Arabidopsis thaliana: one gene and its partners. The protein of the gene in region 1 interacts with the protein of each later gene in a pairwise test. Each region holds a gene or a part of one and is shown in the gene's direction. Other genes may lie near its edges.

Evidence for each region.
Region 2: the proteins of HHP1 (region 1) and AT3G61750 interact in a protein complementation assay, tested with the Arabidopsis thaliana proteins (one large-scale study listed by BioGRID).
Region 3: the proteins of HHP1 (region 1) and AT4G28330 interact in a protein complementation assay, tested with the Arabidopsis thaliana proteins (one large-scale study listed by BioGRID).
Region 4: the proteins of HHP1 (region 1) and ABCA7 interact in a protein complementation assay, tested with the Arabidopsis thaliana proteins (one large-scale study listed by BioGRID).

Annotation. Positions count from the first base shown.
Region 1 is NC_003076.8:6,840,298-6,844,940, reverse strand, and holds HHP1 (heptahelical transmembrane protein1), read left to right. Parts: upstream 1-1,994; 5' UTR 1,995-2,284; coding exon 2,285-2,586; intron 2,587-2,667; coding exon 2,668-2,743; intron 2,744-3,295; coding exon 3,296-3,916; 3' UTR 3,917-4,108; downstream 4,109-4,643. UniProt on the Arabidopsis thaliana protein: May act as a negative regulator of abscisic acid (ABA)-mediated osmotic stress signaling and function in cross-talk between cold and osmotic signaling.
Region 2 is NC_003074.8:22,857,030-22,861,407, reverse strand, and holds AT3G61750 (Cytochrome b561/ferric reductase transmembrane with DOMON related domain-containing protein), read left to right. Parts: upstream 1-1,738; 5' UTR 1,739-2,153; coding exon 2,154-2,360; exon of another isoform or gene 2,361-2,437; coding exon 2,438-2,837; intron 2,838-2,921; coding exon 2,922-3,511; 3' UTR 3,512-3,831; downstream 3,832-4,378. Other genes in the region: DL1B (DYNAMIN-like 1B), read left to right, coding at 1-171, 266-634, 734-862. UniProt on the Arabidopsis thaliana protein: May act as a catecholamine-responsive trans-membrane electron transporter.
Region 3 is NC_003075.7:14,021,735-14,024,855, reverse strand, and holds AT4G28330 (pyrroline-5-carboxylate reductase), read left to right. Parts: upstream 1-1,550; 5' UTR 1,551-1,927; coding exon 1,928-2,404; 3' UTR 2,405-2,576; downstream 2,577-3,121. Other genes in the region: AT4G28340 (pyrroline-5-carboxylate reductase), read left to right, coding at 1-226.
Region 4 is NC_003074.8:17,622,737-17,629,840, forward strand, and holds ABCA7 (ABC2 homolog 6), read left to right. Parts: upstream 1-1,603; 5' UTR 1,604-1,763; coding exon 1,764-1,835; intron 1,836-2,023; coding exon 2,024-2,390; intron 2,391-2,467; coding exon 2,468-2,547; intron 2,548-2,623; coding exon 2,624-2,768; intron 2,769-3,010; coding exon 3,011-3,130; intron 3,131-3,223; coding exon 3,224-3,348; intron 3,349-3,464; coding exon 3,465-3,623; intron 3,624-3,737; coding exon 3,738-3,900; intron 3,901-3,989; coding exon 3,990-4,115; intron 4,116-4,210; coding exon 4,211-4,294; intron 4,295-4,395; coding exon 4,396-4,742; intron 4,743-4,822; coding exon 4,823-5,023; intron 5,024-5,163; coding exon 5,164-5,273; intron 5,274-5,364; coding exon 5,365-5,449; intron 5,450-5,527; coding exon 5,528-5,656; intron 5,657-5,741; coding exon 5,742-6,236; 3' UTR 6,237-6,549; downstream 6,550-7,104. Other genes in the region: ABCA8 (ABC2 homolog 7), read left to right, coding at 6,848-6,919, 7,008-7,104.

The DNA of each region.
Region 1 (4,643 bases):
CGAACTATCTTTTTCATATTGACCACATGGTTTGGTTTGTTTTATTACTTCGTCGTACATAAGCTGCCGGAAATACCTAACTCTTCATATGGTTGTCTCTTTGACACCTACCGGATTTTACTTCATTTATGCAAAGTATTGTAATAATAAAAAGAAAAAGAGGATATTCCCGGTATTTTAATTAACAGAACAACATTCATATAAATAAAACCATTCCTTTTGATTTTAATTAGGCCTAGGCGACAAAATATATAATTAAGGCTAAATAGATTGCAAACACATGGCAGTTATATCCAAAAGTAAAGATTACAAAAGATGTCGAGAAGATAAAGTCATTTTCTTCTTCAACCATATTTAACAAAATCTTAAGTTATGAATTAGTAATAAACTATTTTCCCAAGAAACTTAAACACACGTATATGGAGTTTGCGTATATGATTGCGATTCCTTGGGGGTGTTTCAGGAGTGACCTCTTTGGTTAATGTTTTCCCAAAAAGCCTAAGCCAACCCAAATCTTGAAAGACCAGAAAGCTACAACTATGGCCATTTTATCAGCTTTAATTTTAGATAACAAAACTGAATTTTGTAAGAGAAAAAATAAAGGTATGGCTATGGGACGCCGAGATGTTAATTACTATCTACATAATAACAACATATTTTTTTTTTTGAATTTAGTGTTAAATTATATTCAAAGAAAAATAAACTGTTTATATACAGAAATGCAAACTTTTCTTAAAAATAGATCAAAAGTATATCTTATTTATCTTTGATTTTGTTCTTGCCTAAAAGTAAACCACACTTGGATTCCTCTTGCGTACTTCTCTTCACATCTTACCCTCAACGTGCTTAATCCATTCCTTATGTTTTTGTCTATCAGCCTGATTATCTTCTTCGTCCTCGATGGCGTCTGTCCATATCTCCTCTCATTTCTTTCTCTCCATATAGAATGTATCGTGTTTTGAAACACATACCGAAGTACAAACCTTGTAGTGGCGTCAAGATCTTTACTCACTAACTCCTTCATAATAACAGCATAATAACATGTATTACATGAATGCATGTCACAAACGTTTATAATTCCCTTTTTTTTTGCCAACAAAACGTTTATAATTCCTTGTATGAAGATATTTTCGTCTAATTTTTAACATCCTTTTTTAGTTGATTTCCAAATAAATTATAAATTTGTTCTAAAGTTTAGTCATCTGCCTAATTAATTAACTTGAAGTTCTATATTGCTAGAGGCATTTAAAGGTCAAGTCCTTTTCAAGTGGTAACTCATTGAAAATGACACTAATGTTTTTTGCAACATTTCACAAGAAAAAAATAGAAATTTTCATGATTTTGGCTTTTGTGGTCTACTCTTTTAAAAAAAGGAATCCTTGAAATGTTTGCATGCTTGTTTTTAGTATCATTATTTTTGTTGTCATCCACTTGATGGAAAGAGCTTTGACACTTCTTTACCACAATCACTTCATAACTCATAACTACATTAAATTCTGTTGTTATCCTAACTTCTTCTGTTAAAAAAATTACTTAGAATTACACATAAGAACTCAAAAATGCAAATTTTCTAAAATTACTCGTCTATTTCAAGTAAAGTAAACCCCTCACCAATCTTAATTTCACACAGAATTTAATGTTGATTGAAGCATAGTAAAAGTCTAAATGAGTCCTTATTTTTTATTTTTACATCAAGAGTACTATTTTGTTTGCATCACATATCTTATATCTTTCTTATAAATACAAACGATCCGGTGGGTACAAGGCATCAATCATGTAAAAGAGGTACAAGCCGGTAGTGAATTTTGAGTCGGTCGGTCTTAAAATCGCCTAAATTTACTCTTCTCGTATTCAAAAGATTTTCCATATCTCAAAAAGTAGTGTAAAACTGAATCACTTTTCTTGTTAAAAAAAAATACAATAAAAACAAACGTAAGAGAAAGGGAAATGAAATAATAATAATCAAAAAAGAAGAATTTATTGATAACCTAACTAACAACTAAAAGATGAAAACACGACACCAACTTCTACCTGCATACTAAAGTTTCGTCTTTAAATGTTGCAGCTGTCTCCTTACATTTCACATCTTCCTTGTTTCTTCTCTCTCTCTCTCTCCCCTCAAACTTAAATTCACATTTTAATACTTGTTACTTCAACTATAATAATAATAATAATCTTTCTTCATTATATATTTTCCTCTCCTCTCAGATCTTCTCTCTCACCATCTTCTCTTGAGATCAAGATTGAGTATTCTTGTCTCAAGAATCGATACTCGAGAGCTCTTATGGACCAAAATGGTCATAACGACGAAGCAGAAACAGTTTCATGCGGCAACGGCAACTGCAAAAGCAAGATCGTGCCTGGAGATGATCACGGTGGAGATGAGAGTAGTGGTACCAAGAGAAGGAAGAAGAGAAAAACGCAACAAAAGACAATGAAACGACGTGAATTAATGTCGTATTGTGAGCTACCGGAGTACATGAAAGACAACGAATACATATTGAATTATTACAGAGCTGATTGGTCCATTAGAGATGCTTTCTTCAGCGTATTTAGTTTCCACAATGAGTCCCTCAATGTTTGGACGTAAGTACACCAAATTTTACTTCTAGTTTCAATTATTTTTTCTTCGATTTTTTTTTCTAATAGTTTTTTTTTTTTGGACAGACATTTGATTGGTTTTATCTTCTTTGTGGCACTAACCGTCGCCAATATTATTCATCACGACGGATTCTTCCCCGTGGTAAGTGTCCTTTAATCAACACGTTTATTTTTGTTTTTGTTTAATAATCGCAAGTTTAGCCCGAATTTCAATTTATTCCCTCGAGATCCACATGCAACCACTATATTAACTTCAAATTAGTCAAGTGAATGTGTCAAGTAATTAGATATATACCTAATTGGTTTTGATTAACTTATCTTAATTTTCTAATGAATTGTTCGTTGCTATACCTGGATTTTGTTATGATGATTTTGAATAAGATATCAAAGATATATAGACATGAATCGAAATGATGAATAAAATCTTTGACAATATTACATTGACTATAATTTGTTTTCTGTAGTATATTCTAAACAACTCAATAAAATGTAATTCTTTTAAGGATTATATATCAGCTCAAATCTATTATTTAATCACATATCTAAACAACTGAAGAAAATGTATTTCTTAACTAGATTAGAAATCAACTCAAATATGTTATTTGATCATATATCTAGTATATGTTTTTTTAGTATCTCAAACTAGTCAATAAAAATGTAAAGCTAATGGTGGTATCAATGTTGATGATTGTAGGATGCAAAGAGTCCAGGGAATGTAACAAGATGGCCCTTCTTCGTTTTCTTAGGAGGCTCAATGTTCTGCCTACTCGCAAGCAGCATTTGTCACCTCTTCTGTTGCCACTCAAAAGAGCTTAATGTCTTCCTTCTCCGAATAGACTATGCCGGTATCACCGCCATGATCATCACTTCCTTCTTCCCACCAATCTTCTACATCTTCCAGTGCACTCCTCGGTGGTACTTCATCTACCTCGCAGGCATCACATCCATGGGAATCTTCACAATCATCACACTTTTCACCCCATCACTTTCCGCTCCCAAGTACCGAGCTTTCCGCGCTTTGCTCTTTGCCTCCATGGGGCTGTTTGGGATTGTCCCAGCTGCCCACGCGCTAGTGGTCAATTGGGGAAACCCGCAAAGGAACGTGACGCTCGTGTACGAGTTGCTTATGGCAGTGTTCTATCTTGTTGGAACAGGATTCTACGTAGGGAGAGTGCCAGAAAGGCTTAAACCGGGATGGTTTGATCGTGTGGGACATAGTCATCAGATCTTCCATGTGTTCGTTTTGTTGGGTGCTTTGTCTCACTATGCAGCTGCTCTCTTGTTCTTGGACTGGCGTGACCACGTTGGTTGTTAAACCATATATTTGTAATTCTTTTAAATATAATATTATTAATTTGTTGTATCGTGGTGAACAAAATTGTAATAACCCATTTGTTTTAAATTGAATTGTAATTCAACTTGTGTTAATTGTTATGTTTGTTGAATATGCATGATTTTCAGAAGTCTTTTTCTCTATGAGAAGTTAATGGTAAATCAAATATTTGCCACTGAATAGTTTCGTTTTTGAATATGATGACTTCAATTGTTTGTTTGCTTTATATCATGAAAGCAAACAGAATTGAAAAGACATAAAAAAAAATTGATGTAAACACAAAAGCAAAAATTGACGGTTGAAACAACCAATGATTTGTTTTATAAAAAAAAAAAAAAACCAATGATGCAAAGGATGGACTTCATGCATGGTTGATGGTTCTTTCATCTATCTACATGCGCACTTAGCTTAGTGTCAGGATTCCCTAACCACAAGAGAATTAATATGTATATATGCACCATCAAATGTTCATCAAAGTCTCCGCTTCCTTTTTCATTCTTCATAGCCGAGTCCTCTTATTATTGCTTCAAAGTTTTTTTGTTCTTTTTGATTTGATATAAATATATGTGTTACTAGGTTATACAGGTGTTAATTAGATGCAAGACAAGGATTGATCAGACATAAACATAATTAAAGACCAAGCTTCACTCTGTAACTAGACTCTTGATCGATAATGCGTGAACGGACCCAAACTCTTTTCGAATTTCGG
Region 2 (4,378 bases), on another chromosome or scaffold:
CTGATCACTGAAGCAGATGGATATCAACCTCATCTCATAGCTCCTGAACAAGGTTATCGCCGGCTCATAGAATCATGCTTAGTCTCCATTAGAGGCCCTGCTGAAGCAGCTGTTGATGCGGTTCATTCCATTCTCAAGGATCTTATCCACAAATCCATGGGCGAAACATCTGTAAGAATATCTCTGCTCAAAGTCATAAACCCAACAACAACAATAACACTTATGAGTTTTGAAGCATGATTATGTGTTTTCATCATGACTACAGGAACTGAAGCAATATCCAACACTCAGAGTAGAAGTATCAGGTGCAGCCGTGGATTCATTGGATCGAATGAGAGACGAAAGCAGGAAAGCAACTCTGTTACTAGTGGACATGGAGTCTGGTTACTTAACGGTCGAGTTCTTCAGGAAACTCCCGCAAGATTCTGAAAAAGGTGGGAATCCGACACATTCGATATTCGACAGATACAACGATGCTTATCTCCGAAGAATCGGCTCAAATGTGTTGTCATATGTGAACATGGTCTGCGCTGGCTTGAGAAACTCCATACCGAAATCCATTGTTTACTGTCAAGTCCGTGAAGCAAAACGAAGCCTTCTAGACATCTTCTTCACCGAACTTGGCCAGAAAGAGGTAACAATAAAGATATACTAAAAAACCTATATGAGCAAATTGACAATTGTATAAGATACGAGTAAGAATGTTAAAATGGTTTGGTGTTAAAAATTATAGATGAGCAAATTGTCGAAATTGTTGGATGAGGATCCTGCGGTTCAGCAGCGAAGGACTTCGATTGCGAAGAGGCTGGAATTGTATAGAAGTGCTCAAACGGATATTGAAGCAGTTGCTTGGTCCAAGTAGAGAGACGAGACCCTCTCTTCACACTCCATTTTTTGTTTCTTTAGGATACGTTTCCTTCTACATTTTTTTGTCTCTTTTTTTTTTCCATTTGTCATTGTATTCGGTGTTCGAGTTATCATTGTTTCTGAATAAAAGTTTTTGTAAGACGATGGTTGGCGCAGTAGAATATGGTTGACCAAATTATTTTTCAAAAAATAAATAGATTTCATGGACTGAAGAAACATATGACGTGATCTCCTCTCTGTTTTAAACCACCGGAAAGAGAGAACAAAAGGAGCAAGCAAACAGAAGAAGAAGAGCAAACAGAAGAAGAAGAGCAAACTAAAATTAAAAAAATCAACAAAATTGGAGATGCGGGGAATCGAACCCCGTGCCTCTCGCATGCGAAGCGAGCGCTCTACCATATGAGCTACATCCCCATATTGGCTAACTTATTATGTTAATCCCTTTTATTATGTTAAAGTTGAATAATTTTGAATTATGATATCGATTACATAAAACGCTTAGTCGTTGACTGATACCGATCCCGCCATGCGTAATAGTAATACTGTTTAAATTGTTTTACATTACCATTTTGCAATTGCAACACAATACCTTTTTTCTCATTTGAGTTTGTGTTTTACAACGAACAAATGAAATTGTTTGTTTGTGTGATTGGTACTCATGGAAGCTGTAAAGCTGTACTCATTGGTTAATTTATTATTGTTTACTTTGTTTCCAAGTTCCCTTCCAATATCTCCTCCAAGAAAAGAAAAGATGATGTTGATCGTGGCACTATCCTGACCAAATATACCTAATGAGTAATGATTCAGACTAAGACTGATCCACTTCCCACTATGGTCCAGTTTACGACCCCACTCTCTCGCTCCCATCTCTGTCTTCTTCTTCTTTTTTTCCCTAAATAAGCAAAGTAAAAAACTCCAGATTGTCCATATCTTAAAAATCTATTCGTAATTTCTCAACCTCAAATAGCAATTGCCAATTGTTTTAACTGGCAAAGAAAAAGCAATAATTTCATAGCATCTTGGTATTTTTCTGTCGGTTCACGTGTCGATTTAGTGACAGAGGGGACATAAATTGTCCGATACTTAACCAGTGAAACATCAACTCCAAGTATCTTTCTCAAAATCCAACCGGAGCTGATTTAAAACAATTTGATGATTATGATTGATCTCCATCTCCAACCACTTTCACCACCAAACTCAATCACTCTTCTTCTTCTTCAAGTAACCATCACCCAAAAAGCTTCCATTGTTCCTCGCTCCTTCTCGTCTCTGTTTCGATTCCAACCATGAAAACTTTGGTCGGATTTTACATCCTCTGTTTCTTAATCGGACAAGATCTGCCTTTCTTAGCTGCAGATGACGTCAATGTCATAAACGATTCGACCCAGAATCTCTGTTTTGCAAACCGATTATCCGATTTCCTCCCTCCACCGTACAGCAATATCTCCGATAACATGCCCTGTACTCCTCTTTGGAACACGTTCGTCTTACGGGTAAACCGAAAAACATAAACCAACTTTTCCTAAAACCCATAATTTTGATTTTCAACGCTGCTTGCTCTGTTTTGCAGTACTCAGAAAACAGAGACAATGTGATGACGATTATAGTATCGGCTTTATACACAACCGGGTGGGTTGGGATTGGATTCTCGAAAGAAGGAAGAATGGTTGGATCAAGCGCGATGATCGGATGGATTTCGAAAAAGGGTCACGCCAAAATCAAACAATACTATCTCCAAGGAACGGAGAGAGACCAAGTTGTGCCGGATCAAGGAGAATTGCAACTACAAAAAGTCCCGCCGGTGGTGGCTCTTCACGGAGCAATGATTTACTTAGCTTTCCAGGTGAAATTCGCCGTTAGAGTTCCTCGGAGAGCTGTCATTCTAGCGTTTAGCACTGCTTATCCTTCCAAGCTAGGCCGTTTGACTAAGCATGATGATAAAACTACAGTCATCGTCGATTTTTCCAAAGGTAATATAATGTATATACTAGTCTAATCTATACATGTTAAAAACAGGGGAGAGTTCAATAGTTGTATGTTCTTGGTCAATGCAGCTAGTGGAGCAACCTCCATAAAGACGACAACTTCTACGGAGAAGACAAAACATGGAGTAATGGCGATACTCGGATGGGGTTTCTTACTTCCTGTAGGGGCAATCCTAGCAAGATATCTAAGACATAAAGACCCTCTTTGGTACTATCTTCATATCGGTTTTCAGTTCACGGGCTTTATCTTCGGTTTAGCCGCAGTTATTCTTGGGATTCAGCTTTACAATAGGATCCAGCCGGATATACCTGCGCATCGAGGCATTGGGATCTTTCTTCTAGTCCTTAGCACTCTTCAGGTTTTGGCTTTCTTTGCACGGCCACAGAAGGAGACAAAGATGAGGAGATATTGGAATTGGTATCATCATTGGATTGGGAGGATCTCTCTCTTTTTTGGAGCAGTGAACATTGTTCTTGGAATTCGAATGGCGGATAATGGAGGAGATGGATGGAAAATTGGATATGGATTTGTTCTGTCAGTCACGTTACTTGCTTTTGTTGTTCTTGAAATATTCAGGATTCGTGGCACTATCGGCTCACCATCTTCTCGCAGCCCTCCCTCTTTTGAGACACATCCAAGTTCTAGTACTAGTGTTTGATTCAAGATCTTCTGTTTTTTTTTTCTTGTACATAAAGGTACTTTTTTTGTTTTCCCCATAATCATTGGTCACTGATTTTATAGTCCATATGTGTTGTAATTTTTTTTTTTTTTTTTTGGTTCGGCAATATGATTTTCAAGTGGAAATCGGTCTTGGTTTAGACTTTAGAGCAACATGGTGATATTTGTTTTTTTAAGGTTTGTTTCTTTTTGGATCTCAATTTGTTGTCATGTAAGTTGAGTTTTGAAGGTTGTTGTTCCTGGAAAGTGAAATATACGTAATTCTTTAATTCCTTATGAGTTTGTAAATGTGCATAGACGTCCCTAGACCCTAAGGCTAACATTATGGAGCGATTAACAAAAATATGGTCCTTTTGTATGCAAATGCAATCTCTCATCTTTCATATAAATCATGAACGTATAATTGGATGATAAGTTTTGAGTCTTATTTGAAATGAAAAAAGGATCATCTTCCTCCATTGTCTGGTAATGTCAAAATGTTGTTGCATGAGAAACATACAGTGTTCATATTGGGCCTAACTCGAAGTTGTTTCTTTTATTAATTGTCAAAATGTTCCACGAGAAACATCGTAGGCCCAATATGTAGCCCAACAAGCTTCGATTTTTCTAAATAAGTTGTGTGACAAGAAGAAAAACGAGAGAGTTATTTATTGATGCGCCACGTCAGATTTGATGAAAAGGAAGATTTCGACTTGGCGCTCTCGTACGCCTGAAAATTCGCAGTCTTCCCTCGTCCCCAATCCCTGGAGCCAAACACTGTTCCATTCAACCGCCACGTCAGCATATTCGTTTTTTTTATTTTCGTTTTTATTATTTGTTTAGGCGAATTAATTTCAGAATTAACCAT
Region 3 (3,121 bases), on another chromosome or scaffold:
CATCGCTGTGCCAGCGATCGTTGTGATCTGGATATCGGTAGTGGTGACAATAGCGTTCCCCGTAAAGTCGAGGAAGAAAGTGGTGATTGAAGGAAGGAAAGTGACGAAAGAAATTGCTGGTTATGTGTTTAAGGTTCTTCTTAAAGAAGGAAACTTTGTGGCTCTTCTTTGTGCTGTTATTGCTTACTTTGTCTTCTTTAACTCTTATTACTCTTCATCTTCTTGATTCAGTTTTTGCATTTTGTCATTAACGAAAACATTCATAACTAATATATTGACATCTTATCTTATGGTATATGTTGTAAAATAGTACAACACCCCATGCAAGTTTTGGGTGTTGAGTTCGATTCCCTTCTTTGCATGTTTGCGTCTTCTTTTTTTTAAACTTAACATTGATACCAAAAAAAAAGTGTGTATATATTGAAATCTTTCTTCATTATTTGTCCTTTAGTTTAACAAGATTTGATTTCTTGAATCTGAAAATATCGATCTTCTTTGTTGGATTGATGTGTTCTCTGATGATGTCAAAACGAATGCTTCCACGTCACAATACCGACACGTGAAGTTATTGACATTTCTTTTGTTTATTTCTTTGAGAGAGAACACAGATTCTTCTTTTGGTCGTCTCTCTGTTTGTCGGTCATTCTCTGTCTCTTCCGTGGAAGAGCTTCTGAAACCTCAACTATAATATGGGTTTGAAGGCCCATTTGGGCTTTACTGATTACCATCAATGGCTCATTTTCTGTTTTAGTGAAAACGTTAAATACAGTATCTAACTTATAACTTTCTATCAGCTGAATACTTGATATAAATATATTTAAACTATGTGAGATGCCAAATACTAGAGTACGATGATGATAGCCTAGTAATTGTGAAACAGATATATTGTGAATGTGACGACGAAGAAGAAGAAAAATTGTGTAAGGAGTAAGTGCATGTGATTAGGTATGGTCCAAGCTGAAGTTGGGTAAGTAAAAAAGCTTCATAGGTGATGAGTTGCACCAATTCTTCAGAATACAACATTAATAACAAGTGTAAGAAGGTACTCAATCTAAGTCAATGCATAGTTTTCAAAGTAATAATGATGCATATTTGACAAAAAGATACTCCAATGCTCTTGATCCACAATGAGTAATTGAGTATAATTCTCAAACATCTTTAAGTATTGTTACTTTGAATTGGTTTGCTTTGTCTTCAGATATTATTGAATGACATTGGTTGGTAGTTCAAAAGAATAATTGGTCTGCTTGAATGTTTCCCCTTTAGATATACTATATAATAATAAAATTATAATGGTCCAAAATTAGCAGTTATAGCTTATAGGCAGCTTTTATCTCTCTTTTTTCTTTCCTTAACACTAGTAAATTGGATCGCAAGATCTTAGATTGCTAATAACCAACTTTACACTTTGCATTATACAAAATTAACTATTTCCAAAATACCCAAAAAAACTTGATACATTGTTCCTTACATAATAAATTGACTTTTTGGGTGTTAACTTTTAAGAAAAACAGTGTAAGTATTACACAAATTAATCACTAATCACTTTGGTTTATGAAACGGTTAGTTTGGGAGGTGAGCCAAAAGTGAAACTAGAAAAAATGGAAACAGAGCTCTCCAACTGTCAGTTTGCAGGAAAAGGCAAAGACTTTAACTGGACCGCTAATAAAAGAGGCACGTGACAAACACAGCCTAATCAGCAAGAGCGTGTACTTCACGTTACATCAGATTCGACTAGGCTTAAGTATAAACTAAAAAGAACGTACGATCACTTTCCTTTTCTCACAATTCTTCACCGCAAACACTCACCCCAAAAAAGGAATCAGAAGAAGAAAGAAGCTTGTACAAAAGAAGGCTCTTTTACTATATACCATAACTTCACCAAACCAGACACAGAATCATAAGATCAGATCTGGTGTTCTCAAATATGGCGGATAAGGAAGAACCAGAGACGATGACCTCGTACAAGTTGTTTTTGAGAGTTATAAGCAAGAGAAGAACATGGGCCTGTCTGTTTCTTGTAGTCTACGCGATCCTATTGTCTTCTTCATGGAATTCGTTGAATTCAATAGTTAATTGGTACGGAGAGAATCATCAGACATCATCTGGTTTGCCTGCGATTTACGCGTCGGTGCTTCTTGGTGCGGTGTTCGGAGTTTTATCTATGGCGGCGGCGCTGTTCATAGCCGTGCCTGCGATCGTGGTGATCTGGATATCAGTGGTGGTGACGATGGCGTTCGCCGGAAAATCTAGGAAGAGAGTGGTGATTGAAGGAAGGAAAGTGACGAAAGAGATCGCTGGTTTTGTGTTTAGGGTTCTTCTTAAAGAAGGAAACTTTGTGGCTCTTCTTTGTGCTCTTCTTGCTTACTTCGTCTTCTTTAACTCTTACTCTTCATCTTCTTGATTCGTTTTTTTGAATTCTTGTCATTAACGAAAACATTCACAGCTAGTATATTGAAATCTTTCCTCATTATTATTTGTACTTTAGTTTAACAAGATTTGATTTCTTGAATCTGAAAATATCGATCTTCTTTGTTGGATTGATGTGTTTTCTGATGATGTCAGAGAGAATGCTTCCACGTCACAATACCGACACGTGAAGTAATTTACATTACTTTTGTTTATTTATTTGAGAGAACACAGATTCTTCTTTTGGTCTCTTTGTTTGTCGGTCATTCTCTGTCTCTGTCCATGGAAGAGCTTCTGAAACCTGAACTATAATATGGGTTAGAAGGCCCATTGGGGCTTACGGGTTACCATTAATGGCCCATTTTATCGTATATAGTGGAGAACTGTTTTAGTGACAACGTATTAAATACAGTATCTACTAGGCCAGACGATAAATTGTGTTTGAAGGAGGAAGTGCATGTGATTAGGTATGGTCCAAGCTGAAGTTGGTTAGTAAAAAGCTTAAAAGATGATAAGTTGCACCAATTTTTCATAATGTAGCAATAATAACAAGTGTAAGAAGATGCTCAATCCAAGTCAATGCATAGTTCATACGATAATTCTTTTTTTGATAAAAGTTCATACGATAATTCAAAGATATAATTATGAATATTTGACAAAATATGTACATACATTCAATGCTCTGGATCCTTCATGAGTAAATCGATCCTCA
Region 4 (7,104 bases), on another chromosome or scaffold:
TTTTGCTTGTTCATGTTTGATAAATTGATAATGCAGAGGTTTGATTCATGTACATTGTTGGCTCTTCGCCTGCAAGTTTGCGAATTAGTCTGAGGTCTTGTATTAGTTTGTTTGTGGATGATGCATGTAACCACAATTTTTTTATTTAAACGTGGCTATATTTAATTGTGGATAAACCACTGAATATGAAATTTTATTTCATCTACCATTCAGATCCTAAATGTATATCTTACCATTTAATTCATATAGGGTTTACGATTTAAAATTTAGAATTTCGAAAATAGTATCTATATTAAAAGATAGTAATTAGGTCTTTTTTTCATTGAATTTTACTTAAACATTGGTAAAATTTCATATGCCATCGAAAAAAGAAAATATCACTGAAAACTATGTTAGCTGCCGGAGACAACATTTCTAAAAAGAAAGACAATTTTTAAAAAAGACTACAAAATACTCTGTTGTTCCTTTTTGTTTGATTGTTTAGAAAAAAAATTTGTTTTTAAGAAATTAATTTTTTAAGTTTTCCATGCAATATTTATTGGTTAATATTGGTGAATTGTAATTTTCAAGAAAAATAGTTAGTTATCATTGGTTTAGAGTTATAAAAAATTGTAAAACACTAAAAATAATACATTTATAATCAAAATTTAATATGTTTTCTTAATATATGTGTTTTTCTAAACAATATAAAAAAAGGAACAGAGGGAGTATAAATCAAAACTGTTAAACCAAATTTTTTACCAATTAAATCTTAATTATATCAATTGGTTCTTCTCCGAAATAAGAAATTGTCTTGATGTCTATGAAAATCACAAATTTCACTAAAAATTTATGGAGGATTCCTAATTAACTTTAGACCAGGAATTTTTCAAAAAATAAATTTAAAGATGACATTATCATGAACACATTCAAACTGAAATCAAACCAAAGTAAATTTATTTTCCCTGTAATGGACCATAGAGTATAAAGTATTTAAAACTGCTACTTATTAAATCAAAGACTTTTGTGTTTTTTATTGTGTGCAAAGACTTTTTATGTTTGAAAACTGAAATAAGACTGCTAGTAAAAATATAAACTGAAATAAGAATTTTTCTTAGGACATCATAACATTTTTGCTTCTTGTCCAAGTAACTGCCACATTGGAAAAAAATGTTTAGATTTGAACAAATCTTTTTAAAATGGTCAAAAAATTATCATAGTCAACCAAATTACCCGACACTTTTACGTGAGACATTAAAATAGACTAGTTTAATCGATTATGTTCACACGTGATTACGTCTGAGATGACGTATGAATCATCTTTATACAAATACAAATATACAGTAAACAAATAATTGAAACTCACCTCTTCCACTAGTCGAAGAATCTATTGGTCGTGGCATCACTCTCCTTCGCAGCTTCCTACCAAATTTACATTGAAAATATTCTCCATTGTCACTTTCTCGATTTCGTAAAATTACCTTTTTGTTATTTGACCAAAAGAATAACCCCAAAAAAACAATACTAATATATTCGAGAAAAATAACTAATTAAAGGTATACTTAACGAGAAATTAAAGCGTGTGCACAAGGGTATTACTGTAATTTCACATTCCGTATCTGATCTCTGTTCTTCTTTCCTCCGCCTGCTATAAACCAAAAGGCGGTGACTCGATTTGTTCCTTCTAAGTTCAAAAATTGGGTTTCCATTAGGATTCAATTTTTACTAACCCTAAAAAACAGAATCTAATACACAGAGAAAAGCGAAGGTTGTTACCTTCATCAATGGCGGATCCTGGTCCTGCCAGTTTCTCAACGAGAGCCAATGCCTTGCTTAGGAAAAACTTAACCTATCAGGTACTTTTTCCGTTTTCTTTTCCTCTACGCAATCCAATTATACACATACAAATTTTCGTTTAATGTGAGTAAGATTCTGTTCTGGGATTTTCGTTTAATAGATCAGTTTCCACAACAAAATTAGTGGCTGATTTATTGAGTAGATTCTGTTCTAATTATGTCTTTGTGTAAATTGTGTGTTGGTGTAGAAACGGAATCTATGGAGCAATATACGGCTAATCATGATCCCATTCTACCTCTGTATACTTCTAGTGATTATACAAATCCTGTTCGATACACAAGTTAACAACTCTGCTGATAATCGTTGTGGTTGTGAATGCATCGAAAGAAATAGAGCTGGAAAATGCCAAAGAGAGCTTTGCGGTTTAGAACATTCTAAACCGGATCAAGCCTTCTTTTGTTCTATCCCTCGTCCTCCACTATGGCCTCCTTTGTTACAAATCCCGCGTCCTGAGAGTCGCGATGTTAGAGGTCTTCGTGATGATTCTTGCAGAAGAACAGGATCTTGTCCTGTTACTATACTCTTTACTGGAAATAACCGTTCCCTTGGAACAAGTATGTCTCTTTTCCTTCTTTTTTATGTTTCTGTTCTTGTGTACCTACACTGGAACTTATCTTCATGTTTTCTTTAGCTGTATCTGAGAATCTGTTCACTAGTTCTGTGTCGGCGAACGCCTCTGAGATTTTGCGTACTTTAGCCAACAATGTTTTGGTAAGTTTTTTTGGTTGGTTTCTGTTTGTTTCCATTATGAAATGTGTTTCTTAGCTTTCTTGACCTCATGTTTCAGGGTACAACAGTTGAGGCAGATTTCACCAATTATCTTGATCCAGGGATTGCCTCAAATCTTTCCATCTACAATATCCAACCTCGGTGCATTCTAAATGCTACGTTTCCGTTCTCATTCGAACAACCACCTCTCAAGTTTGAGAAAGGTATTGAGTTTTTAATCCCATTGATGTTTAAGATGTCAACTAAAAAAGTTTAAGAGGGATACTAGATGTTATATATGCTTATATCAGTGTTAGCTTAATGAAATCTGGTTGCTTTCTCTGTTTTCGTATCCCGATCTTGTTGAACATGATATATCTTTCTGCAATATATTGTCCTCACTCATAGTTATCTTTCATGGAAACATCGTTGTAGTTGATTAACTTAATGTTTGTGACAAAACCAGAGTTGAGATGTGTTCAAGGATCAAATCTTTGGACAAATACCTCCAAAGAGGTCAATGATAAGATTTTCAAGGGTTATAAGAAAGGAAACCCCGAGGGAAAGATAAATGAGATCGCTGCAGGTTCGTCAACTTCTCAGTTGGGTTATCTATAATAATCTTTAATAAGCTCATGAGATTTCTGACTCTTCATGTCTGATTTTGTTGTTGGTTTAGCATATGATCTCTTGAACACTGATAGGAACAATTTTAATGTGCACATCTGGTATAATTCAACGTACAAGGACGATGCAGGAAATAGACTTATAAAGTTGATCCGTGTTCCCCGCTCAGTCAATTTGGTAAGAAAACAACAATTTACTCAAGACATCCTTCATCATTGTATTCTCACTTTGCTCTTTACCATGTAGCACCACTTTCTTTATTGAACCGATGCTTACACTTTACCAAACTGCAGGTGTCAAATGCTTACCTTCAATTTCTACAAGGACCGGGGACAAGGATGTTGTTTGAATATGTCAAAGAAATGCCTAAACCAGAAACAAGTCTTCGTCTGGACATTGCGTCTCTAATTGGCCCCCTTTTCTTCACCTGGGTTATTCTTCTTCTGTTCCCTGTAAGTTTGCCTTCAATAATACTCACCCTCATGGATAAATCTTGGAAACAACAAGAATTCTGCTTTCTCCAAGCGTAAGATACGAAATTCATATCTAGAGCCATTTGTATGCAGGTGATCTTGTCGTCATTAGTGTATGAGAAACAGCAACATCTAAGAATTATAATGAAAATGCATGGCCTAGGAGATGGTCCTTATTGGATGATTTCCTACGCCTATTTCCTTACCATATCCGTGTTATACGTTATATGCCTGATGATATTCGGGTCAGCAATAGGTAATTGAAGCCTTTCGGTTAATACATTTCTTACAATACATTATGTTTTTTTGTCAATATGAGTCTTTAATGTTGTTGGTTCCCTGCAGGACTGAAGTTCTTTCGGCTTAATTCCTACAGCATCCAGTTCGTATTCTATTTTCTCTATTTAAATCTGCAAATCGCCCTTGCCTTTCTAGTTTCTTCAGTATTTTCAAAAGTCAAGACATCAACAGGTACTAAGAACATCGTGCTTCTTGAATTTAATCAAGAACATGCTACTGGGGTTTAAAGGAACTAATGAGCTTTTCTCTATATGTCTTAATCATAGTTGCTTCTTACATATACGTGTTTGGATCTGGACTTTTGGGTTTGTTTCTACTCAACTTTCTGATTGAAGATTCATCATTCCCTAGTAAGTTATTATGATTAATTAACTTCAAGAAAGATATTTAATACACTCTGTTATGTGTTTTCACAACTGACCACGATTGCAAATGAATTATAATTTTCCAGGAGGCTGGATTATTGTCATGGAGTTATATCCTGGCTTCTCCTTATACCGTGGCCTGTATGAGTTGGCGCAATTTGCTTTCCGGGGAAACTTGAGAGGGGAAGATGGGATGAAGTGGAAAGATTTTGGTGATAGTGCAATGGATGATGTTTTTTACATCATTGTCGTTGAATGGTTTCTTGCACTCATTGCAGCATACTATATCGATAAGATATCTTCATCCGGAAGAAACCCGTTGTTCTTCTTGCAAAACCCTTTCAAGAAATCTCCTTCTTTGAGAAGACCTAGTTTGCAGAGGCAAGGCTCCAAAGTCTCAGTTGATATGGAAAAACCAGATGTTACTCACGAGGTATGTCCAAAGACTTTACAATATATTTCATGTTTTTCATAATATATACTGGTTCTGATAACAAAAAATGTTCCAATCAGAGTAAAAAAGTCGAGCGGTTGATGCTTGAGTCGAGCACAAGCCATGCGATTGTATGTGACAACCTGAAGAAGGTGTATCCTGGTAGAGATGGGAACCCGCCTAAATTGGCAGTTCGTGGGTTATCTCTTGCAGTGCCTTCAGGAGAATGCTTCGGCATGTTAGGTCCCAATGGTGCTGGAAAGACTTCCTTCATCAATATGGTCAGTCAAATGGACAAAATATTTTGTGCACATTAGACCTTAGCTTCCAATATCATTGCTGATCGAGAAACTCTATCTAGTGTATGCCCAAACGAATTGTGCGTCAGCCTTAGTAATATGTCCTTTGTTTTCTTTGTCAGATGACTGGGCTCCTGAAACCGACATCTGGGACAGCACTTGTTCAAGGTTTGGATATATGCAATGATATGGACAGAGTGTACACCAGCATGGGCGTATGCCCGCAGCATGAGTAATTAAATTCTTGAAATTCATTTCATTTTGTTCTTCACTATAGATGATATAGTTGTTTAATCATTCTCTTATTGTCTGTCGTATACCAGTTTGCTATGGGAAACACTGACAGGAAGGGAACATCTGCTGTTTTATGGGAGACTTAAGAATCTCAAAGGCGCTGATCTCAACCAAGTATGTTATCAATCTCGCTCACCTTCTATATTACTTCCATTGCTCAATCTATTTCTCATCGTTACTTATCTGCATCAGGCTGTGGAAGAGTCTCTTAAGAGTGTCAACCTTTTCCATGGAGGAGTTGCGGACAAGCCTGCTGGGAAATATAGCGGAGGTATGAAAAGACGGCTGAGCGTAGCCATTTCACTTATCGGGAATCCTAAGGTACAACACTAAGCCTTTAAAAATAGTAAACCAAAAGGGATAAGCTCTTTCAAGCTTACCAGACTCGTCCTCATTTCCTTTGAAGGTGGTTTATATGGATGAGCCAAGTACAGGACTTGATCCAGCTTCGAGAAAGAACCTATGGACTGTCATCAAGCGTGCAAAACAAAACACCGCGATAATCCTCACAACCCACTCAATGGAAGAAGCAGAATTTCTATGTGACCGATTGGGTATTTTTGTGGACGGAGGCTTGCAATGCATTGGCAACCCAAAAGAGCTGAAGGGAAGGTACGGTGGATCTTATGTGTTTACGATGACAACATCTTCAGAACACGAGCAAAACGTGGAGAAGCTAATTAAAGATGTCTCCCCAAACGCCAAGAAGATATATCACATCGCAGGGACTCAGAAGTTTGAGCTTCCAAAAGAAGAGGTTCGGATCTCAGAGGTGTTCCAGGCTGTGGAGAAGGCGAAGAGCAACTTTACCGTTTTCGCTTGGGGACTCGCCGACACAACTCTTGAAGATGTCTTCATCAAGGTTGTGAGAAACGGTCAGGCCTTTAATGTCTTCTCTTGATCTTCTTAGATTCATACGTCCATATTTTGTCCAATGTCAATATTTGCTTATTATGTCAAATTGCTACCACATGATACGAAATTAGTGTTTATAAGATTTCATGTATATTACTGGAAATATGTTACAAGTTCCTGATTTTTCAATGAGATTATACTTGAAACAATTACTAGCGCTCCTGAAGCAAAGAGGCGACACTTCAACACTAGGAGATGTTTTTCAATGTCATAACCATTTGTTCTACTCTGTTTCGGAGTTCATGTATCGGCTATTAAAGTTGGTTGGTAGCAATAAACCCATATTTTCGACATTGTCGTAATAATGAAAATAAAAAACCATATCTATCTTATTATATTCATATTTGTGTAGGTTTTGGTAGAGAGTTCATTTCTTAGGTGAGTGATGCAAATGAATACTATTACTTGACCTACACGAAATATCATACAAAAAATCACAGTGCTATTGTCCAATACCTGTATGCCACTTCAGTAACGTGTATAGTTAAACTGTTATCTCTTAATTCTTGTTATTTTTAGTGTGCACATCTAAAAAACAACATTTAGAGACTTCTTAAAAACTATTCAACTCCATCAAACCTTCTCATATTCTCTGCGATGGCGGATTCTAGTCCTGCAAGTTTCTTGACTCAAGCCGACGCTTTACTGAGGAAGAATTTAGTTTTCCAGGTTTCAATACACTTTTAATATCTAAAACGGCTAAGACAGAGTAAAAAGTTTACAATGAGGTTTTGTTTCCTTTTGTTCTTTGATGCAGAAACGGAACATATGGAGCAACATACGACTCATCACAATCCCTTTCTTTCTCTGTTTACTTCTCCTTGTTATTCAAATGCTCTTCGACACTCAATTCA